2 linked regions of the Tamandua tetradactyla genome follow. The protein of the gene in region 1 interacts with the protein of each later gene in a pairwise test. Links are inferred from orthologs where the notes say so. Each region holds a gene or a part of one and is shown on either strand. Other genes may lie near its edges.

Region 1 (7,584 bases):
TAGTGAACTTGGCATTCCCCCCCAAAAAAACACAAAATTTTCCTTTGTTCTATTAAACTTATAAGAATTAAAAGACTATTCACATGCTATGAGATCCAGAAGCAAAACTAACAAAAAACTGCAGCTCAATTTCCCAACTACAAAATAAATCTATAAAATTTGCCTCAGGCTACTCTTAGAAGTTGGAAACTGGACTAAAATTCATGTTTTCCAAACTCTTAACCCAAAATATTTTCTTCTTCTTCACACATGAGGAGAATAGGCTGGCCTGCACCAAAACTTTATTAGTTCAGAAATCCATCACTATTATGTACAGAAGTCACAATGCCTTCTTTTCTTATTTATCTTATATAAAACAAAAGTGAGTCGTGTGGTATATCTGCAGACAAATGGAGGTAGAGCTATGAAGAAACAGGATGTTTTGTGAATGCTATTGTTGCTGTACCTTAAGAAGTAAATTATATCTACATATTAAAAAAAAAATTAAGCCCTTTTGATGTAACCATTTAAATGCAGCATAGCACATTCTCTTTTTCTTTTTTTTTTTACATGGGCAGGCACTGGGAATCGAACCCGGGTCCTCTGGCATGGCAGGCGAGCATTCTTGCCTGCTGAGCCACCATGGTCCACCCAGCATAGTACATTCTTAATCAAATAACATTTTTCAAAATGGCACATTGGTGATTTAGAAGGTATGGTGATTTTTAGCTGTATGTACCCCAGAAAAATGTGTTCTTAAACCTAAACCATTCCTATGGAAGTGAATCCATTGTAAGTAGGTATTGTTGATGACTTTATTTCAGTTAAAGTGTGGCCCACCTCAATCAAGATGATTCTTAATCCTATTACTACAGCTCTCTATAACAGGATGAAATTCAGACAAAGAGAAAGCCACAGAGGGAACAGCCAGAAACAGAGAATCTGGGAAACCTGGAAGAGAAGGGAGAGACCAGGAGACACTGCCATGTGCCTTGTCACATGACAAGCTAAGGACCAAGGATAAGGGATCTCCAGCAGTTGCCTCAGAATACCACAGTCTTTGGGGAGAAAGCATTGCCTTGATTTGGACTTTCTTTTACCCTCAAAACTGTAAAATAATAAATTCCCATTGTTTAAGCCAACGAATTCATGGTAATTGCTTGAGCAACTAAGGAAGCTAAAACAGGAGGTTTTTATTTTTCTCTATTTTTTTGTAAAGAGCATTCCAAATTGCAAAGTAATTAACTGAGCCACCAAGGCAGAGACAGGACAAATGCTAAAATCAACATCTATCATTTTACTGAAATGACTGCTCAGCAGGTATTAAACTTCCCAGGTACCTGAATGGGGCAAAAAGTACAAAAGGGAAGGGTTTGAGTTGGAGGGTCCTAGCCTCAAATCCTTCAAGGAAAAAGAGCTGAATTCTGGTGGCTATGAATGTGAAATGCTAAGCACTACTTAGAGTTTTCTTTCTGGGGCAGAATACGTTGGTGGGAATGTCAAGGGTAAGTTTGATTCCTAAAGGCCATATGGTAACATGGGTACAAGGGTACAAGAGTGTTACCATTACTCTTCGCAGACTTTTTGCATGGTCAGAAGAACCAAAAGGCTCCTAACAGAATAGTTATTATGTATTTTCCCTCCTACTCTCCCAATAAATTTTCACTTCAAAAGTTTCTGATGATTCCTATTTCCAATAGTCTGCCATGCTCGGTTCATGATAGTAAAATGACAAACATATATATCCTGACATATTTTTCTATCCTAGGGAGGAAAGGCAGATACTGACCTTATACACCTTCTGCATTGAGATCAAGATCCAGATTATATATAATCCATTGTGCTCATCCCACGACAATTTTTAATTGCGAATACACTGATGTTTAAAAGTACAACTAAATAGTCATCATTTGACTCTTCCGAATCCATTTAAGGTGGTGGTCACATCTCCTAGGTAATTAGTCCCTCCTAATTTCATGATGCTTAATGAGTTGGTGTTTCACTCACTGTAAATGACAGGCAGGTCCCCAGGTTATTTTGAATCCTGTATGATGGGCAGAACTCCACGGAAAACACCAATCCCTGCACTAAGTAGGGATCAGGAAGTGATCTTCTCCAAAGCATCCCATATTCTACAATTTTATAAAGTTAAGACAAAAATGTGTGTAAAATAACCAGTATTTAATATTATATAAGCTTATTGTACAGAAAAAAGACGCCTCATCTAAAAATAACAGGATAAGTAAGACCCCTTCTCTGATGTGGACCTCGGAAGGCTGAATTTTCAGTGATGGCCGGGCAGAAAAAACTAAGGTGTTTGAAGCCTGCTTACTTTTTTCTTCGACGTTCTTCCTTTCTTCTTCACCATTCTGAGGACAGCACTGAAAGGAGAGGAGGTGTGACAAACACATTAAGACCCAAGTTCTGGGTGGAACTCAGGCAGGGTTCTACTGGACGGGCGAGCAGTCCCAGACCCCTTCCTTGGTGCCCTCCTGAAAGGTTAGAATGGTCCGATGCCGCTTCAAAAACGACCACCTCCCTGGGAGGTCTGTGCCATTTCACCGGGTCTGCCAGAGCCACTTCATCGGGCTGCCAGGGCCACGTCACCAGGACAAGATGCCTCGGGAGATCCATGCCACTTCACTAGGATTGCAAGGGCATCTCCCTCGGGACCGCCCGTGTCACCTACCCGGATTGTAGGGTCTCTCACCAGAACTAACCCTTTCGGGAGATCTGGGCCACCAATGCCACCTCCCTGGGGATTGTGGGACCATCTCACCGGAGTGGCCCGGGCCACCTTACCGAGGTCACAAGGGCCATCTTCCCGGGACTACCTCTCTCGGGAGGTTTCTGCAACCTTACTTTGACCCCTCACCCGGACGTCTCACCGGGGCTGCGGGCGTTTCGCCGATCTCGTCAGCCGTGAGCATCCCGCCTCCGCGCGTGTTCTCGGCTTGATGCGCAGCCAGTGTGGACTGTGGAATACAGCCCGGGCCAGAGACTTTGCCGGGACGAAAGACCAGATCAGTCTTACAGACTTCAATTCTGAACACCAAACGCCACCGAGACTTCCTCCTACCGTCTCTCTGGTTTCTTCCTCTCCGACTAGAGAGGCCGGGTCCGCGCAGTCGCGGGCCGCGCGGCGTAGCTCCCCCTGCCGGCCAGGAACTGAGTCAGCCGCCTCTGTTGCAGGGAGTAAGGTTCCTCTCAACCATGGTAAAGCCCCGTACGCGGCGTTGGGGCGCTCTATTATGCAGCTTGACGATACTCCTCCCTCCACGCCACAAATTCAGTATAAAGTATTTAAATTTACATTTAAGATGATGTCCTTCGTTTTTCTGCTTCCACTTAAAGATGTTCCGAAAGTGTGAGCGAGCTTGTCGACTAGGAGCCGTTAGTTTGGGCTATTTAGTTGGGGGAATTTCCAATGTCAGTATTTTTGGATCTTTCTTTTGAGGCTGGTCAGGTTTTCTTCGGATGATCGTCCAATTTCCTGCCTGGAGGATGCAGATCTGATTGTAAGTGTTCTGAGAGCTGAACGGAGGAAGAGGTCGCAGCACCTAACATCTAACATACACTTTGCCCAGTGCAGACACAAACACACACACATACGCACACAAATTATCTTTTGACAAGAAAGAGAAAGAGGAGTTACCTAGTGGCAAGGAGTAGAGAGAGGACCTGGGGATTTGACAATTTCACAAACAAACTAGCACAGAAAATAGTACGATAAAAACCAAAACACAAGGGGGTGGGGACAACTTGCTTGAGCAATTAAGAAAGCTAGAGGAGACAGAAACCGTTCAATGAGGAGAACACTAAAAAATATATTATGAATATCCTGAGAGGGGTATGAGATACCATCACAACCATAAAAAAAAAGAGCAGATTTTTTTTAAGTAGCATTCAAAGACAAGCAGCTATACATATGATAGCAGAAATGAAAAGTTCAGTGAAAGAGTTGGAAGATAAACGTTGGGAAATATCCTTTAAAAAAAAGCAGAAGAACAAAGAGATAGAAAATTGAAAAGAAAAGATAAATTAGAGAACCAGTCCAAGGGTTCCAAAACTAAAAATAAAACTTCTGAAAGGGAAAATGAGAAGAGGTAAGCATGGAGGAGATCATCAACAAAACAATTCATGAAAATTTCCCCAGACTGAAAGTCATGAGTTTCCAGATTGAAAGGGCCCACTAAGTGTCCAGGCTCATCACTGTGAAACTACAGAACATGGGGGCCAAAAAGATGATCCTAAACCTCCAGAGAGAAAAATAGATAATTTACAAAGTTAATTTCTCAACAAATCTTTGGATTTCTCAACAATAACAAAGGAAGCTAAAAACAGAGAAGCAATTCTCATTTCAAAAGGAAAATTATTTCAAACTAAATCCTATACTTGATTGAGCTGAAATAAAGATATGTTCACATATTCAAGAATTAAAAAAATATATGTTTCATTTATCTCTCCTTTCTCAGGAAGTAGCAAGAGGTTGTACTCCCCTAAAATGAGGGAGTAAACAAGGAAAAGAAGACACAGGATATAGGAAATAGAAAATAAACAATGGAGAAAAATAAAGTGAATTGCCATAATTGTGCACTAGGCATAGAGCCACACAGGTCAGAAGGTTCCAGAAGAGATTCTTCAGAAAGAAGAAATTGATAGAACAGTTCATGTATCTCATCCTCTGGAGGGGGAGATTTCAACAATTAGTAGAGAGCTTGGATTTGGAATGATGAATAAGTAAACCAAAAGAAGATCATTAACTATAGAAAAAAACAAAAGCTTGAAGGAAAAGTGAAGTAATCATGGTTTATTACTTACCTAAGATGTGAATAATGTTTACCTCATCAAAATGAAGTAAACAAAGCTCTAAAAACAAGCACAAAAGAACTTTATTGGACAGATAGAGATATGAGAAGTGTGATGAAGATAAGGGAAAGGAAGAAGAACCAAATCCTCATTTTCCATTAAGTGAAGTCAATAGATAATGTTATGTTTTCAAACGATAGCCAACTGAAAAATCAGAGGAACTGAGTCCAAGTTTAAAAAAGTTTATTATCCTGGGGGAGTTCCCGGGTCCAGGTGCTCAGGGTGCGGGCGGGGAAGTCACGCCCCCCTGGGGGCGGTGGGGTTAGATAGAGGCTAGCTAGTGGGGGTGCTGATGATGCCTACGGGGCCCCCTGTGGTAGGTTAGGAGTTTCGGGGGCTTTAGGGCCAGGGGCATAGGTATGGGACTTGGTTGGTGGATTTCCAATGAATGGAGGTAGCCTAAGGGTACAACCACTGAGAGAAGGAAGGGGGAATTGTGGTATATACGTACAACTGACTGAGTGGCTGCAAGGATGAATGAAATTGTAAGCCCTGCAACTAGGTGAATGAAACTTAAGGGCAGTATGTTGAATCAAATGGCAGAAACAAAAAGAAATATGATCATGCCTCACTCACATGGACTGGCTATACTATATAAACTCAAAAAATTGAATCAAGAGCATGGGTTGTCAGGTTGGGGCCTATTGTAAAGGGTTCTAAATTATAAGCTCTTTCAGCAGTCACACATATTCAGGAATTGTAACTGTTATTTCTAAATTCTGAGATACTTAGCTAATTGAGTATAACCTGGTCATTCCCTGAAACTTCGGGTATGTTTATGACACCTGAAACTCTGTGTTAGAGCATTGAAGCTACAGAAGTCAGCATTACCCTATACAGCAACTGTTTAAAAAGTTGAAAAAGTGATCAGATTTCAACTAGAGATATGAATGAAGCTGACTTGGATAGAACTAAGGTAAATCAGAATATAGGGTAAAGGATAATATGGCCCATATTTTAAAACTTCAACTTGAGACCAAAGGGAGAATGTTTATTTGGTGCAAAATTTATATTTTGGGTAGTGCATTTCCTAATTTAATTTGTATGATCAGTTTATTTAAACACCATAATTACATGGAATCATGAATAGGGCATGAGATCCTGTTGGTTTGTACAGCTTAGTGTGATGTAACACTACATCCCAGAGTAATTTGGGCAGAGAATAAAAATGTATTTGCAAAGTCCCCTTGGGGTACTGGGGAGAAAGGAGGAGACATTCAACTTCCCCATCTGGGGAATTCCTGATATTCTCACAGCAATGGGAACAACAAATTCAATAGGCTGAGGCCTCAATCTTGGGGCTCACCCCTATGGAGCTTATTCCTGCAAAGGAGAAGCTAACCCCACTTACAATTACGCCTAAGAGTCTCCCCCAGAAAACCTCTTTTGTTGCTCCGATGTGGCCTCTCTCTCTAAGCCAGAGAGGTGAACTCGGCAGGTGAACTCACTGCCCTTCCTCCCTACAGGAGACATGACTCCCAGGGGTGTAAATGTCCTTGGCAACATGGGACAGAAGTCCATGGATGAGCCAGGACCCAGCATAATGGGATTGAGAAAACCTTCTTGACCAAAAGAGGAAGCGAGAAATGAGACAAAGTTTCAGTGACTGAGAGATTTCAGAGTTGAGAAGTTATCCTGGAGGTTGTTCTTAAGCATTATATAGATAACCCTTTTTGGTTTATGGTATACTGGAGTGACTGGAGGGAAATACCTGAAATGGTTGAGCTGTGTTCCAGCAGCCTTGATTCTTTAAGAAGACTGTATAACAATACAACTTTTACAATGTGACTGTGTGATTGTGAAAATCTTGTCTGATGTCCCTTTAACCAGAGTATGGACAGATGAGTAAAAAAAAAATAAGGATAAAAATAATAAATAATAGACGGTGCTCTAGTTTGCTAGCTACTGGAATGCAATATACCAGAAACAGAATGGCTTTTAAAAAGGGGGACTTTTTATTAAGTTGCAAGTTTACAGTTCTATGGCTGTGAAAAATATCCAAATTAAGGCAAGTCTATAAAAATGTCCAAAATAATGCACCAACAAGAGGTTACCTTCACTCAAGCAAGGCCTGTTAAGTTCAGGGTTTCTCTCACACCTGGAAAAGCAACTAGAAAAGCACATGGTAAACATGGCGACGCCCACTGACTTTCTCTCCAGGCTTCTTGTTTCATGAGGCTCCTCCAGGGCATTTTTCTTTTTCATCTCCAAAGGTCTCTGGTTGTGTGGGCTCTTATGGTTCTCAAGTTTTTTTCCAAAATGTTTCTTCTTTTAAAGGATTCCAGTAAGCTAATCAAAACCCACCTGGAATGGGTGGAGTCACATTTCCCTCTATTCAAAGGTTAATACTCAAAATTGGGCGTGCACATTTCCGTGGAGGTAATCTCATCAAATTTCCAACCTGCAGTGCTGAATAGGGATTAAAAGAAAGGGTGCCTCCCCAAGATAGAATAGGATTAAAACATGGCTTTTCTAGGGTACATACGCCTTTCAAACACGCACGGGGTGGGGGGGGATAAAGGGTAAAAATGTGGGTAGACTGAAGTATGAGTGGTCAATGAGAGGGAGAGGTAAGGGGTATGGGATGTATGAGTTTTTTCTTTTTATTTCCATTTCTGGAATGATGCAAATGTTCTAAAAATGGTCATGATGGTGAATATGCAAATATGTGATAATATTGTGAGCCACTGATTATATACCATGTATGTACTGTATATGCGTGACGATTTCTCTATT
Region 2 (7,111 bases), on another chromosome or scaffold:
CCCACTCCCCTCTTCCTCCATCCACAATTAGGATAATACAACAAATGAGGAACAGATTAAAAAGTGAACCCAGATTTTTTGTTATTTTTGTTCTACTGGCTGTCACATAATACTGACGAAAACACATAATACTCCCATAAACTTATTTGCCTAATAAAATGCCCACATATTATCTACAGTTATACTCAGGTTTATGTTTCTTCTTTCCCACTATGCTCAAATGAAGTCATTTAAGAGTCACAAGTTTTTGCAAAGCCATGTCCATATGAACAGACACATACCTGATCAAACCTGGTAGCAAAGAGATTGAGTGAGGTCACAATGCCACCATTGGGCCCAAGTCCATACCTACACACTAGGTTAAGGATTCAAATTGTTTACATATCAATTTAGATTATAAAGTCCATACTCAAGTTATCAGTCACAAAAACAATATTATGGCATTAGTGTGCCATTAATGGATATTCGCAATACAATCCAATAACTAGTTATGTACCATACAATCTTAACCTCACAGGGAATCATTCACTATCATGGTCCTTTGTTCATTTATCACCTTTAGTGTTGGCCAAGCAAAATGAAAATACCAAAGTGACAAAAATGCAATGGACAGAAGCACCAGGCAGTGACAGCCTGTTAGCATTAGCCACTACGGTGGCAGTTTGGAGCTGTCATGTATTTCAGAAAAGGCCATGTTCTGTTCATCCATTCCTGTAGGTGCAGTCCTACTGTGGGCAGGACTTTTTGATTAGATTATTCCAGATGAGGTCTGCCCTAGGGTGGGTCTTAATCCTTTTACTGGAGTTCTTTTTTGAGAGAATAAAAGAGGGAAAAGTCAGGAAAGCTAATAGAAGGAATTCAGAGAAGCACACAGAAAAAGACACAGAAGCTGAGGAAGGAAACCAAAAGTTGAAGGCAACAAAACTCTACATCGAAGGACCTGGGCACCATGTGCCTTCTTATGTGACAGAGGTGTACTGGATACTGGCAGCTGGCCTTCCGTGTCCCGGTGTTATCCTGTTGATGTCTTGAGCTGGACATTTTCACAGCCTAAGAATTGTAAATTGTAAGTTAATAAATCCCAAGTGTAAAGGCCAACCTATTTCTGGTATATTACATTCCAACAGCTTTAGCAAACCAAAACAATCATCTTTATAACATTTCTTACTCTGATTCTGACTAATCAAGCAACTTGCTGGTTACAATTAGTCTTCTTACCTAGAATAACCCACAGGGAGAGAGAACATTTCATACAGCAATGTACTAAGAGTGAATCCTACCAAGCCTACTGATTTCTGAATTTCCCAGTCAGGAGAAGTGGTGATCAAATGGGGTGTACCTTCTAGTGCAATGCTACCTGGTAGGATCCAGGGCAGGCAGTCAGCTAGTCTCTCATTTTCACTGCTCTCTCATTACAATGGCGAGCAATCTGGGAAGATGGTAAGAAAACTGAAATCACAAGCTAAAATTATTATCTTGATCATCTATAATACTTCTCCCACACCCATCTACTATCTCCTCCTAATAAAATCACTTTAAAACAATCTAATGATTTTGCGCCTGTGTTTCAGAAGGAAAGGTAAAAATATTCTTTACAAAGTCATAAAATATACAGAAAATAATGGATCTGGGACAAGTCAACATCAAAGCAGACATAGAAAAGGATACTGTTTCATGACTTCTTTATACTTCACAGTGTCACGAATATCTGGAGGGAAAATTAACTGAAATTTAACACGTAAGAAAAATATAGTTTGAGACCCTCCTATAATATCCTAAACTGACAGTCAGAAAAAGTCATCTCTGCTTCCTCTGAGGAAAAATTAAGTATCTGAGTTACTTTTCATATCATTTATGTAAACTGTTAAATAAGAACACTGAATTGAGATAAGAAAAGAAGCAGGACCATGAGGAAAAAGAACAGAAGCGCAAAAGGTACCCTGGCAGCAACTTTCGTACCAGTAAGAAACTGAAACTAGATTTCTAGGCTTTTTTTGTTGGCTTTCTCCAATTTCTTCACCCTCACATTGGTTTCCTTCCATACAAAGGATAACTGCCACGTAATCTATAAATAATGTTAGTAAAGGAGCTCTCAAACTGCATGGTAGAGATGAGACAAGGTAAAAAATTTTGTATGACTTAAATATCATATTAGTGGCCATAGGCACAGAAAAAGAGTGCTAGATCAAGGGGAAAAAAAACAGATGATTTCCTTCTAATTATCTACTAGTGACAAAGACAACGAAGACATGATTTTTTAATAAGATTTAATATGTCCAGTAATATCTAATTAAACCCATCCAGCAGTCTATAGACTTCCCCTATCAACTATTAGAACTTCATCCTTAAAATGAGATGGGCAGTTTTTTTCACTCTTCCCAGAATTATCTTGCTTCTTAATCCAGTATTCCTTTCATTAATATGTGTGGAGTACACAAAGCTTACTCAGGATTAAGAAGAGATAAGGAGGAATAGGATTTGCACACAGCAATGGCCTAGAAATCAAAGTCTAGATCCTATCAAGAATCAGGACACAGGACTAAATTCATTCTTAACCTTTTTTGGAATCACAGACTCTTCTTAGAATCACAGGAAAATTAAGAAACTCTTCCCAGAGCTTTATACATATATATATATACACATACACACACACACACACATTTAGGGGAGTGGGAGCAAGATTCCTATAGATCAGCAAGTGAACTGAAGCATAAGAACACTTACGTTCTAACTAAACTTTGAGACACTAAATAGAAAATATTTATGCATCAGAATCTGCTGAAAGGTTTATAGTCTAGAAGTGAAAAGACTGACTTTACATCACTTCATTTTCCCAAATTAAAATAGCCTGGCACACTAGAGTCAGAAAGAGAAGTGATAAAGGTGAGTGGGAAGGAGGTAAAGAAATGCAGGAAAGGCAAAAAATAAACAACAACAAAAAAACATGAATAAAGAAGAAGCCTGGACAGGAACTCCAGTGACTCCAAGGGAAATGAAAGTAGATAGTTAAGAGAAGATAAAAAATGAAGGCACTGAAGAAAGCAAGGCTCAGGCTTTCCAGTCCCTTTAAGGCATTTCACACAAGTTCTTCCATGGTTCACTCACCAATATTGGCAGGAAAAGGGACTTCATGCACCGCTGGGTCCAGGTTGATCACATAAGGTGGAGAGCCTTGGCTATGCAGATGTCCTGTGAGCCTCTGCAGACATGGGGAGGGGAGGTGGAAGAAGATATAAGGGGATGAGAAAAATTCCAGTCATTTATCGACCATGCCTAAAGGCATTTTTGCACTTTCATTTCCGTCTACATGAAACATCCGCCCAGATGCTCACCTCCAACATTCAGCTCGCAGTCCAAATGCTGTCTTTTTCTATCCATACAAGAGCCTCCCGTGCTCTCTAGCACTTGTTCTCTGTGTACGGGAGTGGGTTTTTCTGACTCCCCCACCAAAATATAAAAACATTAGTTCCATGAAAGCAGGAACTTCGTCAACCTCATTTTCACCGTATCCCCAGTTCCTGGAACAAGGTAGTGGGCAATAAATAATTCCTGAACAAATCTCCGAGAACCTGTTAATCGCTAGAGCTGCCAGTAAAATCCCTACCTACGAGAACTTCACAATTTTATCGGGAATAACTTGGTAAGTTGTACCAAGTATGTATTGAGCATTGAGGGTATACAAAAGAGAGCCTTAACTGACCGAGGCTAAATTCCGATAAGACTTCGTGGAGCAAGTCACTTAGGCTGAGAAGTCCCCCAAAGCCACGCGTCGCTACCTCCAACTCCCCAGAAAACTCCCTTTCTCCCTGAGACTTTGGCCCGCCACGGACAACCTCTCGCATACATGTTACTACACCCGCGCCGTATACTTACCTGTACAAAGGTGGTTTTCCCAGATCCTGCCATTCCCAACACTAACAGACAGACTGGAGGATGCGGGCCACCTGACGCCTGAGCCTCAGCTGCAGCTGCGGGGGCCGCCATTTTCCTACTAGCTCCGCCTGCCCGACGATAGAGACGATGAGAGGCTAGAGAGACTTGCGCGACGCTCTGGGCTGCGAATGGACGTAAAGCCGACTGGGCCCGGAAGAGAAGGGCATGCAGGGGCGGGACCGGCTGGGGCGCCAACTGGTGACAGTGGGGAAGTGGGGCCGCTAGGAGACCAAAAGGCGTGCCGCAGGGGCCAGGAAAAGGTGGAAAGCCTGGTTCCCAGGAGGGCGAGAGGAGACGGGAGCCCGAGGGCAGGGCTCCCGCAGTAGGAAAATGAGGAGAGTGGGTTTCACTTTCGGCCCCCAAGAAGCCGAGAGCAGAGCTGCGAGAGGACTGGCTGCCAGGGCTTCTTCGGTAACCGCAGAGGTTAAACAACTCACGGTGGCACGGAGCCAGATTGGGGCGGGAAGCGACTATAGGAGTTGCTGGGCATCGCCGAGACACACCGAGCACAAAACAGAGAAACTGCGAAAACTTTCTGCATTTGGATGCCGTCCCGGCTTGTCGCAGGCCCCTGACACTAGCGCCCGCCTCTCGGCTATCGCCTTCAGTAAACTACACAATTACCATCACCCTGGGGATGAACGCGTGTATTCCTGGCACGAGTGAGTTCAGAGGGGGCTCGGGAAAGGTGACGCAAGAGCCGAGAAAAATTATTCCTACTCAGACCTTACCCAAGCCAGTTTCGGTGGCTCTCAAAGTGTTCAGTGAGTTCCGGGTTCCACACCCAGGCTTTGCCACTTGCTGGGCAAATAATCTGAACCTGTTTTCTCATCTTTAAAATTAATAACCTCCCAGGGTTGTAATGATCCAGTATTGTAAACCGAAAAATACTGTACCTCATCTTTACACGTAGTCGTATTCCCCTTGCTTTCCAGTGTCCAGAACACAAAGCGGTGCTCAAAATTACTTTCTTGTATGAATTAAAGTACAAATGTGCGTTTAAAAAAAATTATTTCCTAAATGTCCATTAAGAATTGATGGGGGATTGTCTCACTTGTTCCTCCTTCAGGTTTGCTGAAAGTCCCAGAAGGCCTTCTTCAAGACCTTATCTTGGTTTAAAAAATGGTTTTTCCAAAGAAGAGAATCTAATAAAGGCTGAGATGATACTTAAAGAGAAGACAGTGGTGGAAGTAAAGGAGTTGAAGGAGCAAATAAAACAAGCTCAAATCCAGCAGGAACAGCTCCTGGCAGACAACAGGCATCTATACACTGAAAAGACACTTGTCCAGGCTGAAAACAAATTCTTTCTGGAATACCTGACCAACAAAACTGAGGAATATAAAAGGCAACCTAAGAAGCTGTGGAACAACTTTTTACAAAAAAGTGGGGAGATTGAAAGACATAGGCAAGAATCAGCCTCCAAATACGCAAAACAGATTTCAGTACTTAAAGCAGAGCTCTTGCAGAAAGAAAAGATCCAATTCAATTTGAAGCAGCAGTTGGAAGCAATGAGGGGCATTTCTATAACAAAGGAAAAACAGGAGGCAGAAGTGCAGACATTACAGAATGCAAAAAAGAAAGCCGAAACCAAGGCAACTGCAAAGATAGAGGAAACAAAGACCCAGTTGCTCCAAGAAAAAGCATTACTGGAGAAACAATTGAGCGAGCCAGACGTAAGGCAGTTGGGAAAGAAAAATAAAAGGGAGGTTAAGAGGAAAAACCAGGCCTTGGAGTGGACCACAAAGCAGTATACTCTTGAATTTTACCGTGGCATTAACAGAGAGAGCCAACAGTTACAGAAGAAAATACTGCAGCTCCTTCAGCAATGCCAGGAGTTGGAGGCTTCTCAAAGCCAGTTAAAATACAGGAAGCAGCAGCTGCAGCAAGAACAGTGGTATCTGGAATGTTTAATTCGGGGGCGACAACGAATGCAAAGAAGGCATAATTGGTGCCTACAAGGACAGGATGCTCCAAAGATTAACCAAAATATTTCCTAAACTAACACTGCTTAAGTAAGCGCTAAAGCAAGTTCTCTCAGGTGTTAAACTAACCAGGTTGGGAAGGTTTGGGAATCCATTGCTATGGTTAAATACCTTTCATGGTGTGCTGGGATGAAAAGATAGGGTGCTTATTTTCAGCGGTCCTCCATGATGTTTGTGTGACCAGCATCCCTTAACTCCCTCTTCATTTAATTAACTCTTGCTAGTAAACAGGGTGTTCCACAAACCTCCACGTTAACTAAAATACCTGACCCTAACTTAACACTAACCACTTACCAAACACCCATACTTCAAACTAACTCAAGAAAGCCAACTTGAAGAGGTTAGACGAAAACAGATGTGTGATTCATTTCATTTTGCTAACTTAAGAGTTCTTTCTAGAACTAGCACCTTTAAGGCCAGAGCAAGCACCTTTAAGGATAGCTTTCTGCTTTGTAAATAATTTATATCGATGTATCCTCATTCCTTTTGGCATTCTCAGCAACGTCAAAAGTGCATTATCAATTCTTATTAAAATTTTTGCCAGTGACGAGGTAGATCTTCTATAGTTTTCTCATTAAGTGCAAAGTATTCTGACAACAGCAAGTCCAATAAGTGCTTGGCAGAATAACCTTTGGTTTGATGCTAAGCCCTTACAATTTTAGCTTTGAATAAACTGAGAAGTTGAAGGGGCCATAAAATAGGTTAGTTACTCTTTTAAAAATGTTTTCTGCGAAGAAACACTTGGAGCATCAGAAACACTTGGAGCATCAGAAACACTTGGAGCATCAGTGGGGTTAATGAATGCCTCTGCTTGTTTCAGGAAAACATATCAAAAGTTTAAAAATATTTGGACAATTTTTTAAGGAGGCTTGTGTCATCCGTTGTCATCCTATTTCCCTAGCAGCATTCTAAATTCCAAGATGACAGGTAGAAGTACTTAAGGATAATAAATATTTTAGTTTTAAGTCATTTATTCTATTTTTGTACTACACATCACTTTATAATCAATGTATGCCATATATTTATGTCCTATGTTTAGAATTGGTGATACTACTTTTAGGTTTTTAGAGTGGTTGTATTTTTTTTTTGCATCTATGACACTAATGGTTAGACCAGTGATTTATTTCAATGTTGAGTCCTAGTTCAGTAATAAAATCCCATATTTTAACACTGCTCCTCTATGACAAATTATAATC

The links. The genes of interacting proteins can lie anywhere in the genome.
Region 2: the proteins of RINT1 (region 1) and CCDC121 interact in binary tests that used the Homo sapiens proteins (3 or more experiments, as listed by UniProt). The two-hybrid records come from large-scale screens. The link is inferred for Tamandua tetradactyla from reciprocal best matches to the Homo sapiens genes RINT1 and CCDC121.

What each region holds. Positions count from the first base shown.
Region 1 is NC_135327.1:143,943,516-143,951,099, reverse strand, and holds the start of RINT1 (RAD50-interacting protein 1), read right to left. Parts: upstream 3,105-7,584; 5' UTR 2,910-3,104; coding exon 2,868-2,909; exon of another isoform or gene 2,800-2,867; coding exon of another isoform or gene 2,782-2,799; intron 2,361-2,781; coding exon 2,312-2,360; intron 1,986-2,311; exon of another isoform or gene 1,769-1,985; intron 1,122-1,768; exon of another isoform or gene 865-1,121; coding exon of another isoform or gene 855-864; intron 1-854. UniProt on the Homo sapiens protein: Involved in regulation of membrane traffic between the Golgi and the endoplasmic reticulum (ER); the function is proposed to depend on its association in the NRZ complex which is believed to play a role in SNARE assembly at the ER.
Region 2 is NC_135329.1:11,550,316-11,557,426, reverse strand, and holds the start of CCDC121 (coiled-coil domain-containing protein 121), read left to right. Parts: upstream 1-4,078; 5' UTR 4,079-4,263; coding exon 4,264-4,595; exon of another isoform or gene 4,596-5,002; coding exon 5,003-5,930; 3' UTR 5,931-7,111. Other genes in the region: GPN1 (GPN-loop GTPase 1), read right to left, coding at 282-348, 1,669-1,708, 3,106-3,199, 3,874-3,984.